Linked DNA regions of Arabidopsis thaliana. The protein of the gene in region 2 interacts with the protein of the main gene of each other region in a pairwise test. Each region holds a gene or a part of one and is shown on either strand. Other genes may lie near its edges.

Region 1 (6,061 bases), 190 kb from region 2:
CAGGCTTTAATTGCAAAAGGGTCCCTCTTCACTTAATAAATCCAAATACGGACCTCACCGGTAAAGTTTTATACTTTCATAATTTCACCATTTCTTTTTTTTTTTGTTTCTTGACCATTTCATTTACCTCTTCACATAAGTAGATTTAAGCCAGTACACATGACATTCTAGATCGTAACTTGTGTTTTATGTGTTCATCATTCACAGGTGTAAGGCGCATAGATCGTAAGAGCCTAATCATATGTTTTTAGTCATGCACACGTGTGAAAGTATACACGTTAGTCAAAAAAAATTCTGAGTTTCATAGTCCAAAGTGACATATCCAATTTGTCTTTTTAGTTATAAATATTCAGTTCAGCTATTTTAGTTTTTCAAAGAGGTCAAATTAAACCTGGATTACAATATGGTGTACAGTTTGTCTTTTTATTATGATTCTGATTATCATATGAAGATACGTCTTGCTACATGTTATTTTATTCAATTATTCAAAATGCATGGTTCTACATATGGAAATATACAGATATACGGTCTACTTACAACTTGATTTTTTTTTTTTTTGTTAAATTACAACTTGAAGATTCTACTATCAACAAAACAAAAACAAAAAAAAATCTTCTATCGATCGAGCGAGATATTCAAATCAAAATACATGGTCAACAGGTCAACTATAGATTCAAAATATATGAATACCTAAATATTCAAATTAAGATATATCAATTCACGATCTAAAACATCCAAATATAGATTTTGCGAAAACGGCCAAAGAAATTATACATAACGGATAAAAATAAATAAAAAATTACATACGGATACTACTTAGTAGTACTTACTAGATTACCTAAAACCCATAATCTTACATATACATATGGATAAAGGTAACATCGATGAATTACTTGTTTCATCCGATCTGGAACGAATATATCACCTCGCTCGACCTAACATTTATGTGAAACTAAAAGGTTGTTTACATTGAGATAAAACCAACATTATATGCTTGTCAGTGAGGGAAGTTGTGACATCTATTATAGTAAGAAAATTAAATGAATGAAGATATTTTTGCATTGCCTGATACATGCATTATATGTATTGTCCAATTTTGGCATTAAAGTCAACGAGACAAAACTCTAGATCAAGATGGTCTCTAATGTTGACATTTGTTGCGACCTCTTTCAAATGGGTTCATCTCATCATTCATCACACAAATTTGTTGCATTATCTTTTATAATCTTGTTAAATAAACATCATTACGAACAATTTGTGGAAAAATGGAAATTATATGAAAGCCATTGGAAGTACTATATACAATTTAATGCACATGACTTCAACAGAAAATACTAGAGAGACAAGATAAGACACCTATAATAATTTAAGCTTGACATGAAGTGCTAAACAATTACTGTTTAGAGACATATATGCACATGAAACTAGGAAAGAAAAAACATTGCGGTGAGTACATGTCAATGATTGTCGATGAACAAATTACAAAACAGTAAAAATCAACACCCACCCACATGGGTTCCGGTATAAGGGTCAAGTTTGGCGATAACACAAATTTTAGGGTTTGCAAAAATGTTGTAACCATAATCGGTGATGAAATATGGAAGATCATGTGAATATTTAGATGATGAAACTATTTGGCTGAAAAGACAGTTAACTTTAAGCTTTATTACTTGAGATGCCCCGTGACAGACAACGAATGACCTTGGAGAGAATCACACAGATGATGCTAGAGGTAGCTTTAATGTGTTATATTTGCGAATGAAGATGCTTCACGCTCCTGTCGAATTCTTCTCTCTTTAGAGAAAGAACAGACCATTATTAGTTTAGCCCACTCAAGAGAAAAAACCGAAAACAATTGCAATAAATGCTTCAAAGTGCAATAAGGAACCATAAGATAGTTAGCATCAACCTCCACTTCATACTGTCTTTTACAAGAAGACATACATTCATCTGAACAAATTGCTACCAAATTCGGCATTTAATAAGCTGTCTCGTTACTTAGGATTTTCATAACCACACAATTTTTTGTTGGATAAGATTCTAGTAATGTGTCAATATTTCAAAGGAAAACTATAATGCCGACAGACACATAACTTGATCCACAAACTTCCATTGGACTAATCTACTACTCGATTTATCATTCAGTTAAAAGCAATTCTATACAATGAAAGTTACTGCAAGTTTGACCTCTCAAGATTTAGGCTAACCTGACAAAACAGAGCAAAATCTTACAAGATTTAGGTTTAAATAAGACGTGTAGGAACCAAGAAACTAAGAACTACATGAGATTTAAGATGGTTCTTATTTCTTCATCTTCCATACATAACTTAAATGTGAATTCTACAAATGATTTTCTTCATCTCTTTTCTTTACATTTGATTCCATTTTATGTTTGCAAATAATGAGCAATCACAACAACTGTAAAAAACATCAATTCAAGATACTCCTTTTCAGCTTCGGTCAGCTATTTGGTTGTTCGTTATTGGTGTCCATTGCTGACTTATCCATCTCATCATCAGAATCAATGACATTTTCAAAGTCATAATATGGATGCGCCTGCACATTTAAAAACCGATGTCGCTATGTATGTGTATCAAAGAAGTAAAACAACTCGTTGGTTCATTATCAGCATCGTAAGTTAGTTACCTTTGGTCGCGGTTTAACAGCTTCGAAACTATGAAATTGAGGATCCGAGAAATCAGGCGCCTGCAAAATAATATATGCTCCTTTGTTTTTGTACCTCTCTTCTGTTGCCTACACCACACACAAAAATGATTGTTAACGCATATCTTTAGAAAATGCAAATACCAAAGGCGTAAAAATACATACTTGGAATTGCGGATAGTCAGGTGCACTGAAAATAGTGATAAGCTTTCCGGATTCGACATTGTGGTCTATTGTATATCCATTGTCCATTCCACCAAGACCAGTTCTCTTCTCTCTAGCATCTGGACCTTCATGTGATCTGATGATCAACTGCACCAATAAGTGTAAAACATTTGATCCAATCATCCATATCAGTATTTGGGAAGCAAACAAGCATCAATATCTACTTTGGTGTCACCTTCAGTTCATATTTCTTCAAAAAATCCTCTGTACAATCGGGACCCCAAAGAAGACCAATGCCTCTCTGTTCATTTGGTGAAAGGCCCGGAGTCATTGAAGGATCAGACCATAAAACGTCTCCTGGTATCAAGTTTGAACCTTCCCAAGGAGGATCAAGAACTGATCTTCGAGCTTGCATCAACTCATCTAAGGTACCGAGTTTCATTGAGCTCGGCTCAGGTTCCAGAAGAACTACCCGACGGTTCTTTTTCCCCCTTGTTGTTCGCTTAGGCAAGACTGGGCTGCGGAAAAGCCCTCCATGTGCTGTATAAACACGTCCAGAAATTATGGAAGCCAAAGGAAGACCTTCAAAGCAACCCAAACATTTCCGGTACACATGTTTTCCCTTGTCTCCGTATTTTGTAAGCACTTCCTTCTCGAAACCATACATAGATGTACAATACTTTGACTCATGATTACCACGGAGTAGGTAGACTCTGTCCGGCATCAAAACCTAAACAACCAAAAAGATATGTGCTTTAAGAATACTAAGACTTGAGCCAATAGTAAAACAGCTTAGTAAAGAGTTTACCTTCCAGGACAAGAGAACAAGGAAGGTTTCAAGTCCCCAAGCACCGCGATCCACATAGTCTCCGTTGAAAACATAACACCGGTTTTGACAAGGAAAGCCAGTATCTTTCAATAGGAAAAGAAGGTCATGAAGCTGACCATGAATGTCACCAACCACAACAACGTTGGATACAGAGTCAAGATCATCGATATGAACGCAGTTACGTTCTTTGTGGAGGATTTTATGAGCGGTGAGGACGAGGGAATCAAAGACGTTGACAGGCAATAGTGAAGGTAACTGGGAAGGAGGTAGATTCCATGAAGACCATTCGAAACACGACATAAGCCCATGTACCCAGTCGTTAGTGAGAGCTCCCCCATCTGGCCATGTAATGGGAGATGGTGGAACAGTTTCCATTAAAACTGTAAAAACACTAATCTATAATCAATTCCAGAGTATGAACATGTGAAACAAGAGTATCAAGCAATCGAAACATAGACAAAGTTTTCAAATTTCAGCGATCAAAGCCACCAGAACATAAAATCGAATCTGTATATATTCATTCGTACATCTTTAAACTCAAGAGAAGAGCAAAAAGTACAAAATCGAATCATGGGAAATCGAAATCCATATCACAAAGAATAATTCGGAACAGAGTGAGACTCACCGGCTAAGAGTGGAGACAATTTACAAAATTCCAAAGCTTGGATCTTGGACCTAGCTAAGCTAGCTTACTTTGCTTTCTCTCTGCTTTCAGTCCCGACACCGTCGTCGACGAGATTTAGGATCTGTCTGGCTTTGGATCCATTTACTCAAACGACGTCGGTTAACCAGCTAAAAGGATTCAAATCAAATTCATGATTCCAAACCGGCCGGTTTAATAAACGAACAAACCTTTTTTGTCGTGACGCTGCAATAGCGTTTTGCAATCACGCGCTATCGAAAACGCGAGTTCGAGATTTTGTTAAAGGTGGCCAACCGGTTTGTTCTGGTTTTGATATAAACTTGAACAAAATTGGGAGACCGAATTATACATTGGTCTATTCGGTTACTTATCGATTTCAGCTTGATTTTGTTTACGGTACTATCCAAGGAATTTTTGTTTGGTTTCGATTTTTTTATTTTTCAGTGTGGATGAAATCAAACCGACTAAAATCGGTTCGATATCGATTTTTACATTTTTTCGGTCCGGTTCATGCTTTTCCTCTATTTTGAGATATTTGTACTGAAAAGCAGAAAGAGAGAAGAAACACAAAAATTGGACTTTGGTTTGAAATTGGCGACATTTTTGGGAAATCTAGAGACTAATAATCAATTTCGTCAAAAGATCAAATCTTGCTAAATTTTCTTCTGCTCGTTTGATTTTCCGAATCGTTGGTTTCGATAAGTGAAGAAAAGATGGGGAATTTGTTCGTGAAGAAACCACAGATCACGGAGGTTGATCGAGCGATTCTCTCTCTCAAAACCCAAAGACGCAAGCTTGGTCAATATCAGCAGAAGGTTTTTTATTCTCTCTTCTTATATCTTAATTTTCTTTTGTTACAATTTCTTTTGGAACCCAGATCATATAGTTTTGATTCATCCAAAATCCTAATTGGAGATTGGATTTGATTCGTTTCACAATATGTGTCTTATGATTGTTAGTAGTGTGATGGAAAAGAAAGACTCAAGCTTTTGAGTTCTTTGGCTCATCTCTTTGTTAACCGATCTTCTCATTTTTTTTGCTAATTTAGCTTGAGAAAGTAATTGAAGCGGAAAAGCAAGCTGCAAGAGACTTAATCCGTGAAAAGCGAAAGGACAGAGCTTTGTTAGCATTGAGGAAGAAACGAACTCAAGAAGAGTTATTGAAGCAAGTGGATCAATGGGTCATCAATGTTGAACAACAAGTAAATCCTTCTCCTTGTGTGTATGTTTTGTATCCGGCATCGTCTCTTTTGATGCATAATTATGGCTTTCTCAAACTTTCATGTGAACTCGCAGTTAACAGATATTGAACTTACGAGCAAACAAAAGGCAGTGTTTGAGAGCTTAAAGCAGGGTAATAGTGCTATTAAGGCCATTCAAAGCGAATTGGACCTTGATGATGTTCAAAAACTAATGGATGATACTGCTGATGCTAAAGCTTATCAAGATGTGAGTCAAAATACTTTCGGGTTTCGTATCATTTGTTTATGATTCATTATTACGTTATCCGCTTTGTCAGAATGTAAATATCTTCTTATTTGATCACTGCTTTGTGTGGCACAGTTTGTTCTGAGCTCGTCTAGTGTGAAAACCTCTATAATCTTTTTTGTCGAGCTTTTGTGTTTGATGACTCTATTTACATTTCCGAATGTCAGGAGCTGAACGCTATATTGGGAGAGAAACTATCAGCAGAGGATGAGGAAGATATATTAGCAGAATTTGACAACCTAGAAAGTCAGGTATGGGTTTACAAAATAAATT
Region 2 (7,661 bases):
CTCCACATAAGGCTCATAAACTTTACAGATTGATTTCACTACCTCACTGCCAAAAGCTTCTCCAAACTCCTTAAGTTCAAGCCCTTTAGATGTTCTGAAAGATAGCATTAAGATGTCTGTTGCAACATCCTTAAGATCAACATCACCATTTCCACACCAGTTTGCTGCGCCATTCTCCAAGTCAGCGACATAGTTTGTGTATTCCTTTAGCCTCCTTGGCCTTGAAAACCTCAACCCTCCAACATAACTCGCTGAACCTAAACCGAAAGCATAGAATGGCTTGTTCTTCCAGTATATCAAGTTGTGTTTGCACTTGAAACCGTCTCTCGAGTAACTGCTGACTTCATAATGTTCATAACCTGCACCACGGAGCATCGATGATGCTGTTTTATAAAACTCTGCAGACTGTGTTTCTGAAGGAAGAGGGGACTGTCCTGGAGTGTACCTACACAAGTTCATGAACCCAATTCGTTTCTGTTCAGATTACATTCAAGTTCTTAAGCATCAGTAAGCAAACTTGAACTACGTACACTTACAAATTTCCAAACTTTGTGCCTTGTTCGACTTGCAGATCATATACAGAAACATGATTGGGCTGTGATTCGATAGCTAATCTCAAACTCTCTTCCCACATCTCCAAAGTCTGGTGAGGCAGAGAAGAAATAAGATCCATACTCCAATTCTCAACTCCACATTCTTTAACAAACTCTATTGCTTCATACACTTGAGAGACACCATGAGCTCTTCCACAAGCTTTCAAAAGCTCATCTTGAAAAGCTTGAACTCCTAAAGACACTCTGTTAACTCCCAATTTCATCAAATCCTTCAGCTTCTGACCATCAAACGTGCCTGGATCCATCTCCATTGATATCTCAGCATCTGGACTCAGCCCGAAATTCAAACTCAATGTTTCCAGAATCAAAGAAACAAGCTTCGGAGGAACAAGAGAAGGCGTCCCACCACCGAAAAACACCGTTTCTAGATTCGGGTTCGTATCAAAATCCGTCCTTGTCGCTTTTATCTCTCTAACAAGCAAATTCACATAGTTCGTGATTCTCGGGTCATCTTCTTTTCCTTCCTCGTAGACATTAGACGGTCTGGCTGAAGAAGAAGACATGCCTAGAGCTAAGATAGGAAAGTCACAATAATGACAGCGTTTGCGACAAAACGGAAGATGAACGTAGGCTGAGGTTGGTGGACCTTTGTGTAACGTAGTAAGATTGGTTGACGCATTTCGTCGAGCACTTGGTGGAGTATCTTGTAGAACAACCTTACTAAAAGCTCGAAAAAACAACTTCGATGAGCACTTGGGTTTACCTGTAAACGATGAGAAAATTGGAGAAATCGTTGTTTTCAGCATAATTACCAAATAAAACGAGAGAAAAAGAAAGAGAGCCAGAGAGACGAAGAGAGAAAGCTTTCAAAGATCAAAGTTCACTGGTCTCGTTTTATATGCTTCAACGTCGTCGTTTTAGTCAGAAAGTAGACTCACTAAAGACTTGACCATCTAATTAACACACTAATTACAATTGAAAAATATTATAATAAGAATGAAACGATTATTCACTTATTCAGACGGAAAAAAAAATGGCGCTAGAATCGATAGTCTCTCTCTCGGAGCTTCTCTCTTCCCTTCTCTCGTCGAAACCACCGTCTCCGTCGAGTCTGAAACCTATCACGCTTCCGTCTTCCGTATCCGCGAGAACGTCACAGCATTTGTCGATGACGACGAAGATTTTAACGGCCGAGCACGATGACGTCATCAATCGAGTGGCGTATCCTTCGCTGGCGAACGCGAATCTCGTATTCTTCAAGTCCAGTTACTACAACGTCGAGGTGGTGCCTAAAGACGGCGAATCGGAGGAGCAGCTGGTTAACGATTTCAAGAGGTCGTGTTTCAGAGCGGGTGTGTTGCAGGAATCTCGAAGACGACGCTTCTTCGAGAGCTCTCTGGAGAAGAAGACGCGGAAGACCAAAGAAGCTGCGAAGAAGTATCGGAAAAGGTCAGATTTTTTTTTCACTTTTTCTTCTTTCTTTCGAAAAACACTTGGAGAAGTTGAGTCAATAGATTTTGATTTTACAGGAGACCAAACCCTAAACCAAAACCACTATCAACTTCAGAGATCCGCAAGCACAACAGAAATGCATCCAGAGAAGACGAACAAGACGATCACTGGGAACTTCCTCCTGAGGACATTGAGATTCCATATACCAACCGGTCTTAGAAGTAAACCGGAATGATATTCCGGTACACTGATCTGAGCAATCTTAATCACGCAGCATCTGCGTTTTGTAAAGCCACTCTTTTGTATGTTCTTTTAGCTTGAGATTAGAAAATTTTCATTGCTCGGTGTAGAGTGAAGATGAATGATTTTGGAGGTGTCTGTAACGTAGAACCAAATGCAGATGAATCTGTAACTAGTTTTGATTACATGACAAGTGATCACAGATATGAGAAGAATCAAGCCATAGATTGGCAGTTATATTATATTGCCGCCCAAAATCAGGAACAAAACACCAAAGCTCATCATCGGTAACAAGAAAACAAGTAAGGACACCATTATAATTGACTCTGTCTTCTCAAGGATCACTCCCTTAGCCATGTAGCTAGAGCCGAATCCCACTTGCATAGCTCGCCCTCTTTGAACCACAGACCTATGCCACAACCACAAGAGCCAAAATGTCAGCAAATGAAAACTAAAAGTTTAGCATACTAAGGAATGAGAGTGATTGGTCAAACTAAGTAAATGAAGAAGTGATAGTAATGGTTTAAAACAGATATATTGAACCTAACAATTTCAGTAATCAAGTATGATCTAATCTAGTTATGTTATCAAGTTAATTTGAAGCAGTTTGAACCACGTTGATTTGCCCCTAAACTGGACATAGTCAATGTCTCAACAATGAAAGATGGGTGAATGATTTGAACAAAAAACAAGAAATCTCACCAATCTCACGCTTGCCGTTTTCAGGGCTGTCACTACCATGCACAATGTTCCTGCAAATTGCATAATTTAAAAATATCAAACCATGAGAATTATTTTAAGTGCTTACTTCCAACAATTTTAAAGATGATAGAAGTCCAACCTTCCGGTTTGCACAGCAAGATCTCCTCTTATAGTACCAGGTTCAGCTTGAAGCGGATCTGTTTTCCCTATTAGCTTCCTGGCTGAAGCAACAACACCAACACCTTCCCAAGCCTTTACCAGGTTTAAAACATCACATGCAATTAACTCATCTAATTACAACTTGAAAACAAGTAAAAATCAAATTAGAGCATAGTTATACCCATACCATACACACAACTGGACCTGAAGTGATGTACTCAATCAGGTTAGGAAAGAATGATTTAGCACTAAGATCCTTATAATGCTCCTGGCAATTGAGATAAACACACAAGAATATTAATTATGTCAATCGAATATGAAAAAAAAATGAGGCAGCGTCATCTTACGCAAATGTAGCGAATAAGTGAAATATGCAAGTCATGATCAGGCTTCAATTTCTCGATACTTGTCAATGATTTATTAGTTATATCACATTAAGAAGCAATCTAAAGTTATCAAACTACTGATGTAATGAGTGAGTGTCAAACCTCAGCCAATTCTTTTGGGCACTGAAACATCTTGAGCCCAATAAGTTTAAACCCCTTTTTCTCAAAGCGAGAAATGATTTCTCCTACCTAAGAACATCAAATGAATCATACATTCATAATTTAAGCCAAGATAGTGTAATGAAATAACATTCAAAGCTCCATAGAGTTCCAAGATACATAATTTAACCTCAAAATCAGAAGAAGAAAAAAAATGAAAAGCAAAAACGCTTACAAGGCCTCGTTGTATGCCATCAGGTTTCACCATAATGTAAGTCTCCTCAACGTCCTCCTGAAACAATACAGAAAACAACGTAAGAACAATCAAAAGGTCACTAAATTGCATTGAGATTCATCAAATTAGAATATATCCAAACTAATTTGAATCCTAAATTCCTGATTTCGGAGTTTAATCAATGTAAGTACTAAGAAAACAAAGTAATTCGCATAAATGGAGGGGAAGCACACAAACCATAGAAGCTACAAGGTGAGGAAGGAAGATTCCCGATTCGGCGGAGCTGGAAGCGCGAAGACGGCGGCGAGACGCGGAATTGCGAGAGAAAAGACGGAACTGAGGACGAAATGCGGCCAACGCTGTTCTAAAATTAACCCTGGCTGGAGAACAGTGTGGATTGAGACTTGCCGAGTTTCTCTCCGGCGGCGAAGCCACACATAGGGGAGTCCATTTACTAACTACAGTCGCTCCCACCATTTTCTGCGCTTTGTCTTAGCTTCTCTCAGTGTCTTCGCATCATCATCTTATAAGAACAAAGTTAATTGACATAAATACCCTTTATCCAGAAGCGAAGATAATTTGGGTTTAGTTGATCAATCAAAAAGTATCAGTGCTCAGAAGTAATTTAAAAAGTGATCTCGAGTACAAAGAGTGTCTCGTTTAAATGGAGGAAACAGACTCTTTCTCTTTCCCTGTACAGTTTACTCTTCTAAAAGATTAAAAAAAACAAAAGTCTGCACATTTCAACAGTCGCACAATTTGCTGCTTTAATACCAAACCAAACCATCTTTCTTGTAGCAAAATTGTTTTTTTCTTTTTCTTTTTTCGTCGATTTAGAATCATTGTCAACAGAGTCACGTTGAAAAATAGGCAATACAGACTCATCGTCTTGTCTTCTAGATGTATCTGGCTTTGCCTTTCTTTTGCTTGCTTTAGCCATTTCACGCCACATCAAATTTACATTTTGTGCATAGAAGAATCAATGCGTAAACATCCCCAACTTTTTCTTTTCATCTTGTTGCTTTTAACAAGACCCGGAAAAAAGACTTCATCAATCAATTTCTACATCTATATCTTCCTCTCCCTGGTCAACAAGGTCAGTTTTTTGCCCTGCCTTGTCCACAACTTCGGTTTCTACCTTTCCATTGCCATCAACTACAGTTTCGTTTCCTCCCTTGTCCGAAACTTCAGTTCCTTGCACTCCCTCACCATTGTCAACAGCTTCATTTTCTTCTACCCCCTTTTCGACAACTTCGCTTTTTTGCTCTCCCAAGTCGACAACTCCAGTTTCTTGTTCTTCTTTTTCAGTAACTCTACTTTCTTGCTCTGGCACATTCGCCAATTGTTCTTCTCCTTCAATTTTATTGATGGATTTTTCATCTTCTTGGTTCCCATTATCTTGTGTCTTTTGGCTTACCAGTTCTTCGTTTCCACAATCGAGTTGGTTCTCTCCCTCTTCTCTGTGAGGACTAAGTGTTTGTCCTTCACTTTTGTCAAGGGAAAGTTCTTTTCCTACTCCGACAACTTCAGTTTCTTGCTCTCCTGTATCATCATCTCTACTACTTTCTTGCTCTAGCACATTCTCCAATTGTTCTTCTCTCTCGCTTTGATTGATTTTTTCATCTCTTTGGTTCTCATAATCTTGTGCCTTTTCGCTTACCGATTCTTCATTACCGCTAGCACGTGGGTCCTCTCTCTCTTTTCTGTGAGGACTGAGTGTACGCCCTTCACTTCGGTCAAGGGGATGTACTTCTTCCACTCCCATATCAACAACTTCATTTTCTTGCTTTCTCATATCGACAACTTCAGTTTCTTGCTCTTCCTTGTCACCAACTCCACTTTCTTGCTCTGGCATATTCTCCAGTTGTCGTTCTATTTCATTTGGGTTTATGGGTTTTCCATCTTCTTGGTCCCCATTATCATGTGCCTCTTGGCTCACCGGCTCTTCATTTCCGCTAACGAGTTGATCCTCTCCTTCTACTCTGTGAGGACTATGTTCCTGTTTTTCACTTCTGTCAAAGGGATTGTCTTCTACTTTTCTCTGGCTAAAGTGTGGCGGGTCTTCTTCTTCATCCTCATCCTCATCCATTTTCATATACAGACCTAGATGTTCTAATGGATTACTGTTGCTTTCCATCTTGAAACTACCCAAACCCAACATATCCTCACTAAACTTGGGACTCATCACTTCCATGGAAGTCGGTAATTGATCACCTTCTGTACCTGTAGCTCTAAGCATCTGGAGGTCTTCCATAAACCGTATGCCCTCGTTTATCTCCACTGTCTTTTCCATCTGCAACAGACCAGAAAGTCATTTATCATGATTGTACACCATGGTAGGGCTCTGAATAATAGAAGAGAAACTCGAAAAGTCTTTTATACCTTTTGTAAAGCTTGACGTGCAGCTTCTCTCTCTTGCTCTCTTTCCCTCCTCGCTTTTTCTGCGGCTTCTGCTTTGGCTTTTCTCCGAGCCTCCTCAGCTGCTTTGGCCTCGGCTTGTAACCGTTCTTTTTCTAATCAAACGGAAATCGCAAGAATTAAAAATAAAAGTATTTAGTTAGGAATTATGGGTACATAAGCACACTCGAATGCACTACAATCCAACCTTCCCGTAGCCGTTTTTCAAACTCCTCTCTTTCTATCCTCAATTTTTCAGGATCCCCTTTTTCACCCTGAAATTTGATGCATTAAATTTTTTGATTAAAACAATCCACAAGTTCAGGCGAGCTTTTTCGTCAACACAGTAGATCGGACACTTAAAAATTCAACCTTGGTAAAAGCCTTCTCTCGAGCTTTCATAATGGTATCAGCAAAACGATTCTTCAAGAAAGCCGCGCGGTAACGCTTATCTGGGGAATCTGGGGAAATTTGCCTCTCAGGTGGAGCAGTCTCCTCTATAATACCAAAGCATGACAGGTAAACTCATGATCTGAAAATAAACATCTATTACCATCTCCAACCTTCCTTAACTTTCATTTCTTACCATCTGGAACGAGAACTACTGCATCCATGGTGGTTGACTTTTCCCCAACAGTATGCTCAAGTTGATCCAATTCATTCAAAGAATCTACAGAGAACAAAGAATGAGTGTCGGGAAGACTTCTATATCCGAGCACTCCAACTTGCATACATCAATTATAAAGAGACTAACCATTTACAACTATCTTCTCACTGTTGCTATCATCCTCTTTTTTGTCTATACCAACTCCTGGTTGCTTTTTTTCCTAAATTAAAGAGGAGACTATACTTATTTTTCTGTAGTAATTTCACTTTTATGATTGCAAATAGTCCATGGAAATATTGGTGAGTAAATGAAAAATCTTGCAGAAATTAGAGCAACATCCAAACACAGAGACTCCATAACATAAGTTATTCCACTGTTAGATATACCTCTCTACTTGTGGGTTTTGAAGCTTTAATAGAATCTGTTTCACTCCCAGAGGAACTACAAGAATCAGAATCTGAAAGATAATCACAGAACACATCAGTATAAAAAGCACTTCCTATGAGTAAAAATAAAGCAAAGGAATCAATTCTACAGTTTGCCAAACCACAATGTAAGAACTTAATTCATTCGTCATAAACGATAACCACAGAAACTAACTATAATATCCTCTATAGCAAGGGAATAACCACACTTACTAGAGCAGAGAAAAAGCATCGAAAAGATAATATGGGACACGACGTAGGCTCAAATTACAAAACAAGACTCAGGAGTCCAATACTAATCATTTCAATAGAAAAGTTACTTTATTTCCAATCTTAACTATTCTTACAAACTGTACAAATCAATGCACTATTTAAGAGAAACAAAATGATTATTCTAAGGAAATA

Evidence for each region.
Region 1: the proteins of NDPK2 (region 2) and PP7 interact in a two-hybrid assay, tested with the Arabidopsis thaliana proteins (one study listed by BioGRID).

Annotation. Positions count from the first base shown.
Region 1 is NC_003076.8:25,558,876-25,564,936, forward strand, and holds PP7 (serine/threonine phosphatase 7), read right to left. Parts: upstream 4,442-6,061; 5' UTR 4,284-4,441; intron 4,050-4,283; exon of another isoform or gene 4,039-4,049; 5' UTR 4,034-4,038; coding exon 3,638-4,033; intron 3,560-3,637; coding exon 3,065-3,559; coding exon of another isoform or gene 3,050-3,064; exon of another isoform or gene 2,977-3,049; coding exon 2,830-2,976; intron 2,755-2,829; coding exon 2,647-2,754; intron 2,557-2,646; coding exon 2,461-2,556; 3' UTR 2,195-2,460; downstream 1-2,194. Other genes in the region: VPS20.1 (SNF7 family protein), read left to right, coding at 5,015-5,116, 5,350-5,502, 5,597-5,749, 5,884-6,039. UniProt on the Arabidopsis thaliana protein: Phosphatase active on para-nitrophenylphosphate (pNPP) and on various phosphoproteins such as myelin basic protein.
Region 2 is NC_003076.8:25,369,535-25,377,195, forward strand, and holds NDPK2 (nucleoside diphosphate kinase 2), read right to left. Parts: upstream 4,371-7,661; 5' UTR 4,305-4,370; coding exon 4,065-4,304; intron 3,885-4,064; coding exon 3,828-3,884; intron 3,683-3,827; coding exon 3,596-3,682; intron 3,376-3,595; coding exon 3,295-3,375; intron 3,201-3,294; coding exon 3,088-3,200; intron 2,999-3,087; coding exon 2,949-2,998; intron 2,656-2,948; coding exon 2,588-2,655; 3' UTR 2,370-2,587; downstream 1-2,369. Other genes in the region: AT5G63290 (Radical SAM superfamily protein), read right to left, coding at 1-445, 537-1,360; AT5G63300 (Ribosomal protein S21 family protein), read left to right, coding at 1,588-2,241; NPX1 (nuclear protein X1), read right to left, coding at 4,879-6,120, 6,210-6,340, 6,433-6,499, 6,597-6,721, 6,811-6,894, 6,979-7,051, 7,218-7,288. UniProt on the Arabidopsis thaliana protein: Major role in the synthesis of nucleoside triphosphates other than ATP. The ATP gamma phosphate is transferred to the NDP beta phosphate via a ping-pong mechanism, using a phosphorylated active-site intermediate. May activate MPK3 and MPK6.